2 linked regions of the Caenorhabditis elegans genome follow. The protein of the gene in region 2 interacts with the protein of the main gene of each other region in a pairwise test. Each region holds a gene or a part of one and is shown on either strand. Other genes may lie near its edges.

Region 1 (6,409 bases), on a different chromosome or scaffold from region 2:
ATCAACAACATTTGAAGATACTTGTTATGTTAAATCTACTAAAATGTCTGGAAATAATAAATAAAAGCATTTTATAGTTCAGATCTCATGTGAAAATAAACTGTTTTCACAGTCTTATCACTTCCTCAATTTATTTTTTGTCTAGTATCTTGAAAATGAATCAACGTCGATCAATCAGTATCAGTGAGTGACCTTACAAGACAGGTTTCACTTCAATTCTCATAAAAAGAAATACAAGTTGGGAGATCAGAAACTAGTACAATGTGAAAAAGTGTTGCGAGAAATCCTATTATGAAACCATCGAAACTATAAAGTTATTTTCAAAAGCAACGTATTCGCGTTTTCGTCCTCATTTTCAGTTTATATGGGAACTGTTCACAGTTTACAGTGCTGAAATAATCAAAAGTTATATTCAACGATTAAAACAAATTATTTCAAATTAAAGTCAAAAAGTTGCAACTTCTCAGTTTACAGCTATCAAAATTCTTGGAAGTCAACCATTAAGATTGTTGCTCTACATTTATTGAAAACCCCAAATTTTACAGAAAATTTTAAAGCCTATTTATGTGAAATGAAATGGTTTCTGAAATATTCGCCTGACAATTACAAAAATCTTTTGGGGAAAATTTTTGTTTAAAAATAGGAAGAGAAAAATAACTTCGTTTTTGTTTTGAAGGCTATATAGTAAATTGACATCTATGTATGTGAATTACTTCGTCTGACATTGAGAAAAGGTGAGTAAAATGGAATTGTAAATGAGTGATAAAAAGACAAGAATTCGATTTTTCTGTCCTGTCGGGTGTGGTCTGTTTTTCTAAAAGAATTCTAACAAATTTCAGGTTCCGTGAGCGCAATTCGCGAAATGCAATTTGCAACGGAAGGGAAGAACTGTTTATGATTCTGTTTTGGGATACAAGTGAAGAATCAGAAATGCCCTTGTTCCAGAGGCTAATATTATGACGTGGCACTCGAATATCAAACAATGATTAATTGTTCTTTTTGTCCTTTGATTTGAAGGTATTTCTTCGCTTTAAAAACATTTGATATGAATTTCAGATGAAATCAAGTGTGAATAAGTACAGTGCTCCACATCGCATCGTCAGATTTCTCGTAATTTGAATCGTTCGAGAGATATGATTTCTCGATATGCTTCCAATCCTGCGGCTTATGGCCCCAAAAAGTCTTCTGGTCGCCCACCACTTTTTTCTGATCGGGACAAGCGGAATATCGTTTGTCGAGCATCCAATTCAACAGTGACTTGCTCGAAAATAAAGAGCGAGATGAACCTGCCAGTGTATGTTGAGACCGTACGACGAGTTCTTTCGAAGTCCCAATTTATTAAAAGAAGAAAATTGAGAAAGGCTCCATGCGTCACCAAAAAACACCGCCAAAATCGTATCCAGTTTGCGGATGCGATTACAGATATGTGATGAGGCGCGGTTTGATACCGTTTATCCGTCGAAACAGGTCCAGAAAATACACTTACCAACAAGATGGAGCGCCTTGTCACCGCGCGCGTCGTACAATCAAGTGGATAAGTGACAGAGGGCTCCCTGTTCCCGACTCGCCTGCCTGCTCCCCGGACATAAACATAATTTAAAACGTTTGGGGATTCATGATGAGAAAGATTTACGATGGAAACAATAGCAATGTTAACGACCTCAAAAGAGCAATTCTTGACGCATGGCATAAAGTTGACCAAACTCTCCTGGACAATCTTTAACTTTTCATGGATTCACGCGTTTTTGATGTGATTAGTACAAGAGCTCATCCCGTGGATTATTAATCATCTCTTGTTCCTTATTTTTCTAAGTTTTCCTACTTTTCTACCACCTGGCCGTATCATTTTGTGGAGTTTTTTAAATAGTTTTTCATGAAAAAATGTTTTTTTTTCTTTTTTACGAACGCTTCGGGTATATTTCCATCACTTATCTCAAAGCTAGCCAGTACAACGAACATTTTCACATGAAACTATGTTTTGCTATCTTAACCCAGTTTTGAGTTATACCAAAATTTAGGGGTGGCCGTATCATTTTGTGGAGCACTGTATATAGATACGAACAAAAATTAATTTAAAAAAAAACATCAAGGAAAGTTTCATTAAACCGAATCATTGAATCGATGACTGCGAACTTTGAGTACTTGATGGTTCCTCCTCAATTCTAACAAATCGATTCCGTTGCTGGGTGTTGACGTATCTGGAAAAATATCTGATTAGCTTATATACAAGAAAAATTTTCAGAAAGAAATACTTTATTGCGCACGTTTTGTAGTGCTAAACTGATTTTTAAACGAAATTCTAAAATACCTTATGTCGAAATGCAGACCATCCTGGGTGCTGGAATCAATTGGACACAGCCATAATCCCCATCCAAACACTGATTGAAAATTATTATATTTCCCCATATTGTAGTCAGCTGCATTATCAAATCTTAGAAGAGCTGGTTTTGTTTGTTCGACAGTTGTCTCGTTCAATGAGATCAATTGATAATGGAATATGATAAGTTCACCGAGTGGATAGTAACCAAACACTCCGCCGACAATAAAACTGAACAAGTAGAACAAAAACTTTCCCAATTCATCGGTCCATTGTTGATTGATAAAATATCGAACAGCACCTTCTAGTGAAGTGAGCAAATACCAATAAACAAGAAAACTGGTGTAGATAATGTAGAGTAGAAAGTACTTGTAATTGACGTGTGTAACACACATGTTTATCCATGGACAGTGATGATCATACTTAATGCAACACTTCCCACATGAGCTACAATGTCGGGCACGATCCGGTTTGATATGTCCGCACTCGTAACAATACTTGAGCCTTCCCACTTGATCACATTCAGCGACGACTACTTTACAGTAAGTACACATCTCCTCCAAAATAGTATTTTGTTGTGCAAGCTGAAAACTTTGTTGGTGTATTATATAAAGTGTATTTAGCATCCATAAAATAAACAAATAATAATAAAAAACAAAACAATCAAGACAAGATTAAACCACTTATTTTGATTTTTTCACTTTACCTGTTCAGGTGTCGATTTCTCTACCACGTATCGATTTTTCTCCATCGGTGTGACTGCTTTCAATCTATCTTCAAGTTCTTTACTAGGTCGATATCTTTCTGGAACTCTGCCAACTCTCGTGAACAACGTTTTTGCAAGACTCCACATTGACATAACAAACAGAAATGATCCAACAATCAAATAAATGGTTGCTTGAATTGTTGACTGAACGTAATAACCAATTGTCACTGTCACGTACATATAAAGTCTGCAAAAGACCCAGTTAAATGATTCGCAAACAATCAAGAATGACTCACGACCACCAGAGCAAAATAAGTTGAATGAAAAGAAGTACATTGAGACATCTCGTCAAAATCCATCCAGTGATTTTATGTTTAGCGCGGTATTCTCGCACTGCTACGTAAATCTTTGAATACCATGACATTGGTTTTCACTTTTAAATTTCTTGTCTAAATCATATAAACTTTATTTGGTTCAAATCATGTTCAAAAGAACTTACCAAACGACTTCCAAATGCAGAAATGATTGAGAAATATTCAAAAATTGTAAAAAATGTACTGCTGGATTGCGTGAAGTTTTATTTCATTTACCGCAGGAGTAAAAAAATACCGTGGCATTTAGAAATAATGTTTTGTGAAAAAAATTTATGGGACTTTATTTGTTGCTGATTATCGAAGAAATTATTTGGAAGTTAGAAGTAAATTATTTCAAGCATTATTATTATTTATTGTGAAAAAAATGAGAAAATTGTGTCATATATACAGAGAACTGATGTCAAAGTTACGCATTCGATGTCTACTTTCTCTTGCAACACTGTCCATTTCCACATGGAGAATAGTTTTGCTGGCACGAGCAGGAGTTGACTGATTGTGTCTGGCATGGCATCTGGGCTGGTTGAGCAGCAGAACAGGATTGAGAGCATGATTGGGTGCAAGCTGGAGCACATTGTTGCATTGGTTGTTGCTGCTGAACGCATTGCTGTTGGCATGATTGCTGGCATTGTGGTTCACATTGTGCAGATTGGGAGACTGAAGCTTCCAGAATGATTGTGACAGCTTGTGGAGCAGCAGTAGTGGCAACTGGAGCTTGGCATGCAGATTGGCATTGCTGGCATTGTGGAGCAGATGGTTGCTGGCACTGTGGAGTACATTGTTGTTGGCACTGTTGAGTTTGTTGGCACGAAGTCTGACATTGTTGGCAAGCTGGTGCAGATTGCTGTTGACATTGTGGAGCACACTGTTGCTGACAAACTGGAGCAGCTTGTTGGCAGGTATTCTGGCACTGCTGGCACTGTGGAGCTGATGGTTGTTGGCATTGTGGAGCACACTGTTGTTGGCATTGTGGAACTGCTTGCTGGCAGGTGGTCTGGCATTGCTGGGTGCATTGCTGATTGCACTGTTGGGCTGGAACTTGTTGTTGAACACATTGTTGTTGGCATGATTGCTGGCATTGAGGAACACACTGAGCAGAGATTTCCATGTTAATCTTGATTATTTGTGGAGCGGCAGTAGTGGTTGGAGCACATTGTTGAACACATTGTTGCTGACATTGTGGCTGACATTGTTGAATTGGTTGAGTTTGAACACATTGCTGTTGGCACTGTTGTTGGCATTGTGGCACGCATTGAACTGCAGCTGGAGTCTGGACAACACAGGATTGTTCACAGGCTGGCATGCAGGATGGTTGACATTGAACTGGAGCTGGAGTAGTTGGAGTATAACAGGAAGAAGTCTGACAGCTTTGTTGGCATGTAGATTGACATTGACTAACAGATGGAGCAGATTGACATTGGTTCTGGCAAGACTGCTGACAAGCTGGGGCACATTGAGAAGCTTGAATTTGGTAGGTTTGTTGCTGAACTGGTTGGGCACATGAACAGGATTTCTGGACTGGAGCAGTGTTCTGACAGGAACAACTGTACTGTTGTGGTTGAGTATAGGTGGTTCGTTGGCAAGAGCAACTTGGTTGAACTCTTGGAGCACAGCCACAGGATTGGCGTTTATCGCGAATTGTTGTTGCCTGGAAATGATTTTTGTGAAATTTGACTGAAATCGTGGTCAATCGTGGTCGACTGAAATCGTGGAATATATAATCTTATGTCTGCAAGCAATGCTCAAGAAAAACAAATATTTGTTAAATTTGGGTACTTAGCCGATTTTTTTGGATCGCCGCTCAGCCCTGTTCAACAACTATTTAAAATGAACATTTGGCTCAACAATACTATTAGATGGCCATTATACCTCAATAAGGAAACAGCTTGAAACAAGAAGAGCTGCAATTGCGAAGAAGCGCATGATACGGTTCGAAAGGATTGGAACAGATGATTTTCTCTAGTTTCCAGGCCTTTTATACTCACACTGTATGGTTAACCAAAGAACATAAACCCTGAATTCCCGCCTATTTATCTTAATGTAAAAAATGATGCGGAGGAGATCAACACTTTGATGGAAGCTTAGTGAGCAAAATGATAAGTGCGCGAACAGGGAAAAAGTAGTTTTATTTATGTCGTAATGAGTGGTCTTGAAAGTCGATAAACTTAAAGTGTACTTGTGAAATCAAATGTTCATCTCAAAATGTAAAAGACAAATATTTACCAGCAGTACCTAAAAAGGTAAACGATAACTTTGGTACATATAGTTAAGCAGAAACTCGTTTCGGTCAAACACACACCGTATCAGCACATTCCATTCGACGGAACGCGCACCCAACCTTTTTTCAATCTTTGCAACTCTCCGTGCTCCCAAAAAATAGTGTGTAAAACCATGAGACGGCACACGTGTTCTTCGGATCATTTGCTATGCCTCCATTGCTATGTTTGCGCTCGTCATGGAGCCGGTTGATGGATAGAGTCTGATAAGTGGGAAGCAACTTTCCGGTATGTGTTCGATGGTTAGTGAAAAAGTGTAGGAGAAGGTTGGTATAAAAGTCTGAAAGGTTGACAAAAGGACATCAGTTGCCGTCTAGCAGCTCTTCAAGCATATTAACAATGCGCTTTATCGCAATTGCAGCTCTTATTGCTTCTAGCGTTCTACTTGCCGAAGTACGTTTCTTATCACTTACGAATCACTGTTGTAAAATACATTAATAATTATATTTATCTTACAATACCATATAATTTTCAGGCAACAACAATTCGCGATAAACGCCAATCCTGTGGCTGTGCTCCAAGAGTTCAACCAAGTTGCTCTTGCCAACGAACCACCTATACTCAACCACAACAGTACAGTTGTTCCTGTCAGAACACTGCTCCAGTCCAGAAATCCTGTTCATGTGCCCAACCAGTTCAGCAACAAACCTACCAAATTCAAGCTTCTCAATGTGCCCCAGCTTGTCAGCAGTCTTGCCAGAACCAATGTCAATCTGCTCCATCTGTTAGTCAATGTCAA
Region 2 (7,375 bases):
GACTGTCTCATTCCAAATTGGATTTTGAGAGTTGTCCACGAGAAGCGTCTGCTTTGAGTATTGTGCAAACGAAATGCGAACAAATGCCCGAGACGAGTTCTTGACAACTGGCAGCAAATCGTTTCCCCACATGATATAGCATCTCAGTTGCCATTTTCCAGTTTGCATTTGATATTCGTAAACGCGAAATCTTGGATCTTCACTGTCCGGGCTGAAAGTAAGATCGTACAATGAACTTTTCAAAAAGGAGATACTTACTCTTTGTTCTCAACTTCTCGTACATATCGTCTACGTCTGATCCGATCGGTTCGGTCTTCCAAATCGTGGTATGGGCCTTCCTTCTTGCTGGGGGAGTACTAAAAATTAATATTTATGAAAAAAGCATCAAAATGCTAGTCCCCGATAAGCTTTAGAAGCTTGTCAGCAACTATTTTCACAGTTGCATTTAGATCAGCATTCTATCTATCTGTGATTATTCAAAATTCCAACTAACCTCCCAATTCTCATTTCCCATCGTTGTCCGAAAATGCTCAAAGTCCTCCAACTCCTTGTTATAGCCTTCATGCTTCCTTGGCCTCTTGATACAACGCTTTCTGAAGTTGTGGTGAACTTTTTCTTCTCGGTCTGTCAGGACTCCGCTTCCAAAAAAGACACCATTCGTCGAGTACACCCATCCTTTTTCGTCTCCATTGTTTCGAAACTTGTCTTGAGCCCAAGAGCCTACTTCCCATCCTTTCGCATGTTTGTCAAGATCCTTGGGTTTCAACTCGTCGGCGTAGCAATCCGTGTACTTAAAGTGTTTCCACGTTCCGTCTTCAGTTCTCTTCTGGATTTCAAAAGCCTTGTCATGAACCGTGTGTTGTCCAAGTTTCGGTACAAACATATGACGAGTATTCATCACAATCCAGTGACCAACAGCATTCCATCCATTTTCGAGAGGCACTTCATTCGTCTTCTCCCATTTCCCATCGTAAATATCAGCTTCATCTTTCCATTTCAATGCGAGTCCCTTCGTCTGCACTTCGTACATTTCCATGAAACGACGGATGTCTGCGGGTTGTACGTGCTCCTTCCATTTTGTGAGCTGATCTGTACGTCCAAACCACATCTTTGCATGGAGTACTGCGACGTGCTGAAAGTAATTTGTATTGTCATATGGAATTGAGCTAGTTTATTGAATTACCTCTCTTTTCCTGTTTCTCTGATCCACCAAAGTCGGCCATTGAATATTTATAGCACGGGTCCTCCCACACCATTCTCCTGATTGAGCTTCATCATCCGATTGGAAAATCTCCGAAATCGGGATTTTGGCGAAACCGATCAACTTCCCATGGGACATCATTTTGATGAGAACGGGTGGAATGGTCATTTGAACATCTTCTGCCAACTCAAGAGTCATCGATCGAATTTTTAGAAGCATTCGGAGCAGCTTCGCATCGACTTCTCCATCAGAATAATCTATACTGAAGGCTTCCTTCTCAAAATGCTCTCGCAGCTTCAAGATCTTTTCCTTCCGGTAGTCAAGGATATGGCGATCCAGTGCGTTGCTGCTAACGGGGTTGATGCGTCTGAAAATATATTTTAAATTTGTGAAAAGTCTTAGTGACTCACCCCAAATACTTGCTAGCCGAATCAATTTGCTGCTCCAAGCACTCCAAAGCTTCCATTCCAACTGACGAAACATGGTCGATTGCTTTGTTTCCAATGCGTCGAACCTCCCAAATCATCGTATCAAGCATATTCGTCATTTTCATGAGAACATTGCTCATTTCAATCCGATGCTCAATAACTTCCCACGGAGCATTGACTTCGGCAACTGGTCGGAGATTTCCCCATGGCATCGTGAAGTACTTGCATCCATCCCAGTTTGGCTCTGCTGGCAGTGTTGAGCTATTGCATGATCTGAACTCGTTGCTCGTGCTTCCAAATGAACCGATTGACATCATTATGCAGACTGGATCGGATGCGAATTGAGGATTGATCATGTTGAGGCCACTCATGGAACAGAAGCAGTTGTACCATTCGAGATTTTTCTGAAATTCACAAAAAAGTTTAAGCAATGTTCTACAGAAGTTCTCTTGCATGGCTTTGCAATTATGTTTAATAACCCTAATGTCTACAGTAATCAAACATTTATGGTAACTGTTACAGAATTTGAACACAAAATGCAATTTCAAAATACAGTAAGTCTATATCCTACAGTAACCGTATAACATAATCTACAGTATACCTATAATATAATCACCAATAATTACATGAAACATTCAATATTGTCTCCAATTTTCAATAACTTACACAAATCGATTCGGCTTCCATAATTGGGGAATGATCAAGATGCATGATCTGAGCATTAGCCTTCTCCATATACTCTACACAATCGATCGCAATGAACAAACGCCCAACAAATCTGAAAATTAAACAAATTAGTTTAGTCTTCAACTCTCCAAGCCTACCTGCTCCCATCCTGCTGGGATCCTCGCATTTTTCTTGAGAAGATGCTGAATCGAGTCACGCGTTCGCAATCGAATACATTGAGAAACGCAGGTCCAAAAGTCGGAAGGTATCCAGTCTCTCCTGGCTCGTAAATCATTTTCATTGGAAGAGTGGCTTTTCCTATGCACGTTTTGCCTCGTCCCTTTTTGTCGAACAATGAGAAAATAATCTGAAAATCAGTTATAAAAATATCTTCGGAAATTGAAGAAAATAAGAGATAGGCAGGCATGTAGGCATAGACTGTCTACCATGTCTCAGAGACGCGAAAAAATACGGTCTTAAAATCCAAACTCATACCTCTGAGATGACAGTTGGCCATTGAATTGGAAGATAGATCTCTTGCTCAAACTTCACTGATGCGATGTTTGCATCTTCATCAAGAAACGCAGATTCCATTGTTGTTTCGGTCTTGTGTGCTCCACACTGAACCATCACATAGAATCTTTGCTTCTTCTTGATTTTCCTCTCATTGATCATCTGTCGGATGAGCTGTTCCACGGAGAACACTCTGATCTGAAATGAAAAGTTATTAGTAATTAAGCATCTTCAAGTACCGTACCTTAAGAGTATAATCAATGAGATGTGCTCCACTCCAGATTTGCTCCTTCCCATCGTCATCAATCAGCGTTGGTGGTGACTCGTCGATCCGGTACACAGAGAGCGTCACCTTCAGGAATCCACAGTTCTCATAGGCGATATCGTCCGGTTCCTCGTCATCCATTCCAGGAAATCCCAGAGCGACCCATTTTGCAATGACAGATCTGTCGGGAGAGTGAATTACTTCCGAGAGGTAGCAGCTGAACTCTCCGACGCTTGATTCACCAAGTGCTGTAGGACGCACGAGCTGGAAAGTTACATATTTGGAAATTACAGAGAACATGCTTAATCACTGATAACGCTTCAGAGCAACCAAAGAAAAATATTCCAATGTTTAAAAGTTTACCCGAAGAGTCAAAACTTTGGCAGCAAGCTTCTCCAGTGGCTGGTTCTTTATTGTGTAGAGAATATTTTGTCGCCACTTTGGAATTGCATGAGTAACTGTTCTTGTCATTTTTGAATTTCCGTCAAAGATCGTTCGAACTCTTGCGGATCCTGTGCTGACATCCTTTGCCTCAATAATTCGTACAAGAACATTCCAGGTACATGGCTTGTCAGTGTCCTGCAGTTTCCGTTTTCCAAAGCTTTTTCCATCATCTGGCAGCAGCTCGATGTCAGATCCACCGTCGTCCGATAGCTCCTGAAATTTGTAAATTAAAAAAAATCAAAACGTTCTCTCATTAATCTTATACTCAGTAACAAAATTGTGGCAGCTCTAATAACTCAAATTATCAAACTCGATTAGAAGCCGAAAATCGATAATCCTAAGAAATAAATGATTGATTTGAATGAAACTAGAACTTCATTATCATCCACTACCTACAAAACCGATACCAGTAAAATCGATTTTTGGTTTAAAAGATAACAGTTTCAATAAATAACTAGCAAACTATTGCGAAATATTATTGCCACGTAGATCTAATATTAGATATTATAATAAATCGATACTACCAAACTATGTCAACAATCGATAAAATCACTGTGGAACTATTTCGTACTAAACAAACAAGGAAAGGTCCATCTTTGTTCTGATTCTAAACTAATATTCCGAAACTAACAGTCATCTCCGATGTTCCCGTGCTCTTTCCCGATTTGCTCTTTTTGCTGGATTTGCTCGTCTTGCTTGTATTCCTCGATTCGTTATCCGAATCGTCTTCATCCCGATCTCTCTCCGGGCCGGAATCCTGAAATATTGCAAAATTTAAAGGAATTTAATAAAAATAAGACACACCACATCACTGGATGAATCCCCTCGCTTAAACTTTTGCTTCACTTTCAGTAGCTTTTCCTTGACCGTCATGTCGATTTGGTGGAAATTGAAAGAAATAACTTGGTTCCCGTGAAATTTTTGCAAGGGGTGTTGGATGACGTGGCAATAAATGTGGCAAAGCTGTGAAGACAAGAGAAGCACAGGTCACGTGAGAAAAGATACGTGATTCAACTTTTTTCACGTAAAACTTTTTTGTTTTTTTTCTCACGTATTTATTTTTGTTTCATTATTTTTCTGATTTTTAATTGTCAGCCAAATTGTAGTACGAAATTGGAATTCTCACTAGAAAAAGATGAAATTATCATGGTAGTGGACTAGTACGGTAGGAGTACTGTATTTTTATGCAAGCGCGAGTTGGGCGGGGAAAGAGGCGCCCCGTCACGCCTCGATCGGTTTTTTTGAGATGTTGTCAAAGTTGTCACTGTCTATAAGGAGTCGGCTGCGATTTTCGTTTGCCGAATATCAGTTTTCCAAAAGTTTTAAAAAAGATTTTTTATAAGAAAAAACGTGGTTTTTGATTTTTTTTTTTTTCCGTTTTCTTTAGACATACTTTGGAAATGTTGTTGCTCAAAATATTCATTGAAACTTTCGGGTGTGCTTCCTGGGTGCTCACTTCCTAATTCCCTACATTCATAATTCCGGATGACTCCATGTCATTTCCGTCGGCTCACATCACCGAATCCTCCCGCCTGTCAAACAAACGTGAAAAGATTATGCAATTGACAAAAGACATGAGTATCTTCAAAGGGAAACAAAATGTGTCTCCTGCTGAGATATCATCATCTGGTACGAAATCGAATGAGCACACCCCCATTTTGACAGACGGCCATATGCCTTTTGCAGAAAGGAGTTGACCCCCCACGGGTACCTCTAAAAGGCATGAAGCATTGTTGATTGACGAGCCGATTAGCGAATATTATTGAGGAAAGCTTTTGGATTGAAACCAATGTTATGTAATATGAATGATTAAATACTTTATGATTGTTGAATTATTTGAAGTTTGGCGAAACTGTAGTTATTGAAATTTTTGCCAAATGTGTGGCATTTGGAAAACAAAGATTTAAGCAGCAGTGAGGTATTTTTAAATAAAAAAAATATATCTCTTCTTTGTCACTACTTTTTATGTTCGTAAAATGAATCCATCGTTGGTTTTTACAGATGATCTCAAAATTTTCTAAGGGTATGTTAGTAATATTTTTCAAAGTGAAGGGCCTTTGTGACAAACTTCTCGGCCATCCTGTTGGAGTCCTAAATATATTTATTTTTAAACATCAATCAGCAAACTCTTAACAACAAGCATGATTTTTTTGAACATTTAGAAAATTAGATAAAAATTTGGATTCTTTATTTGCAGAGTCTTAGCTCTTCAGTTCAACGTTCCAAATTTCAAAAACCAAAAAAAGCATCTCAATTGAACAATTGTTGGCATGTTGTACAACAAAAAGGTCGAGAGGTGTCTGAAGTGACACGTGTCTTCCTATAAATTGCACTTGATAGACTGTAATGGGTACTGAGATTGAAAACACCTGTTTTGAGGGATATGGACACTTGGTACATATATGACTACTACATTTTACAGTCTTTAGTGAGATAATGTGGACATATGTTTGTGAATAATATGATGTAACTTTGAGACGATTCAGATTATGAATTCCATTAAAAATTGCAGTGCAAACCTTCAAATAATTTGCAGTGTTGTGGAAAACGGTAAAAGCATTATAATCATATATGAATGTCCCTCTCAGCCTTTTTAATAATAATTATTAAAAATAGTGTAACTCTGAAGAGGATAAAAATTAAGGAAATTTGGTCGGGATATTTTTTGTTCTAGAACTGTATTTTAGATCTAAAAAAACAGGTTGGAAAAATCTCAATTAAACATTTTTTAATGTAAACTTTGGTCACTTTAAACTTCATGCAAGATGCTGTCAAATATTCTAATTTTTATTTCTAAGGTCTTATTTTTCAATTTATTCAGTTCCAACTGATCAAAAAATCATTTCATTATTTGTGTAGTTTGTGTTTTGTTTCATGTATCCGAGGTCCAAAGTATTTCCAATCACTTTTTAATTGAAAAATCCAGAGATTATCCGCTTATATTCACAAATGTTCAAATTGATATATTTGGAGCATTGAGCACAAATAAACCTACTATTTAGTCACTAGAAAATAGACAGACGGCGTTGAAATTAGGTATGATGTAACAGGTCATGAACTGTGTCACCTGTCCCATCTGCCTGCATGATTGAGCGAGCTTAAACGGTGAGAGTACTGTAGATGGCTTATTGACAGATGAACAAAATTTGAAACTTTTTGAATCTCAATTTTTGAGATATAGCCACAGGTTTCTGTGTTGATGGTTTTCCACAGTTGAGCTACAGTACTCAATTTCGAGAGAAGCATCTACATCTACAGTTTTTCATAATTTCAAAAAATTTCCTACTTGAAATAATTGTTTAATAAAAAGTTATGTATAAAAAGTAATAATTGTTATGTTTCTAAACAAAAATCCATGTTTTTAAATCCTCTAATTTTACAATTTTTCATTGACTAAATATCAAAACGTGTTGTAAACTCAACCATAACCGCCTCAGCCATTATATTTCTAAAATAACCTGTGTCCCTCTTGGGACCACCTACTGCGCATGTCTACCAGCTTGTTGGAGCAATTCTTGTGGTTCCGCCTCTTCGTGAGCTCCGACCAATCAGATCGTCTCATTAAGACCACGCCCAGTCTTGTTAAGCTCAACAGATTTTGTGTGTAGTTCACAGCTTGATTCATTTCTGATAGAATATGATAACTACCCCGAATATTAGTTTAACACCAACTGTTGCTCCTCCAGTAGATTTCCCCATAATTGGCAATTGTGGTGAGTTATTGAGTTTAATAGGTTCTTGATATTTCGTTAATATTTTTTGGTTTTGGAGATTGTGTCAAAATATTGTATTTTTCCTATTAGTCTTGCACCCCCATTGCTCCAAAGTGGCAGCTCTTATTTTGGATCTATCAAAAAT

What was found. Proteins that work in one complex are often made in the same cells at the same time.
Region 1: the proteins of fer-1 (region 2) and spe-10 interact in a two-hybrid assay, tested with the Caenorhabditis elegans proteins (one study listed by BioGRID).

Annotation. Positions count from the first base shown.
Region 1 is NC_003283.11:10,381,386-10,387,794, reverse strand, and holds spe-10 (Palmitoyltransferase spe-10), read right to left. Parts: upstream 3,546-6,409; 5' UTR 3,523-3,545; intron 3,473-3,522; 5' UTR 3,448-3,472; coding exon 3,320-3,447; intron 3,271-3,319; coding exon 3,024-3,270; intron 2,902-3,023; coding exon 2,309-2,901; intron 2,199-2,308; coding exon 2,111-2,198; 3' UTR 2,055-2,110; downstream 1-2,054. Other genes in the region: pqn-2 (Prion-like-(Q/N-rich)-domain-bearing protein), read right to left, coding at 3,819-5,042, 5,264-5,317; abu-1 (Activated in Blocked Unfolded protein response), read left to right, coding at 6,010-6,063, 6,146-6,409. UniProt on the Caenorhabditis elegans protein: Involved in spermatogenesis, specifically in the morphogenesis of fibrous body-membranous organelles (FB-MO), which are Golgi-derived organelles used for transporting sperm-specific components, in spermatocytes and in their localization into budding spermatids.
Region 2 is NC_003279.8:8,626,795-8,634,169, forward strand, and holds the start of fer-1 (Sperm vesicle fusion protein fer-1), read right to left. Parts: upstream 4,409-7,375; 5' UTR 4,391-4,408; coding exon 4,322-4,390; intron 4,275-4,321; coding exon 4,149-4,274; intron 3,731-4,148; coding exon 3,437-3,730; intron 3,338-3,436; coding exon 3,053-3,337; exon of another isoform or gene 3,007-3,052; coding exon 2,791-3,006; intron 2,663-2,790; coding exon 2,454-2,662; intron 2,408-2,453; coding exon 2,296-2,407; intron 2,034-2,295; coding exon 1,612-2,033; intron 1,569-1,611; coding exon 1,184-1,568; intron 1,133-1,183; coding exon 494-1,132; intron 357-493; coding exon 259-356; intron 212-258; coding exon 1-211. Other genes in the region: ces-1 (C2H2-type domain-containing protein), read left to right, coding at 7,155-7,230. UniProt on the Caenorhabditis elegans protein: Required for the fusion of the membranous organelles (MOs) with the plasma membrane, a process essential in spermiogenesis.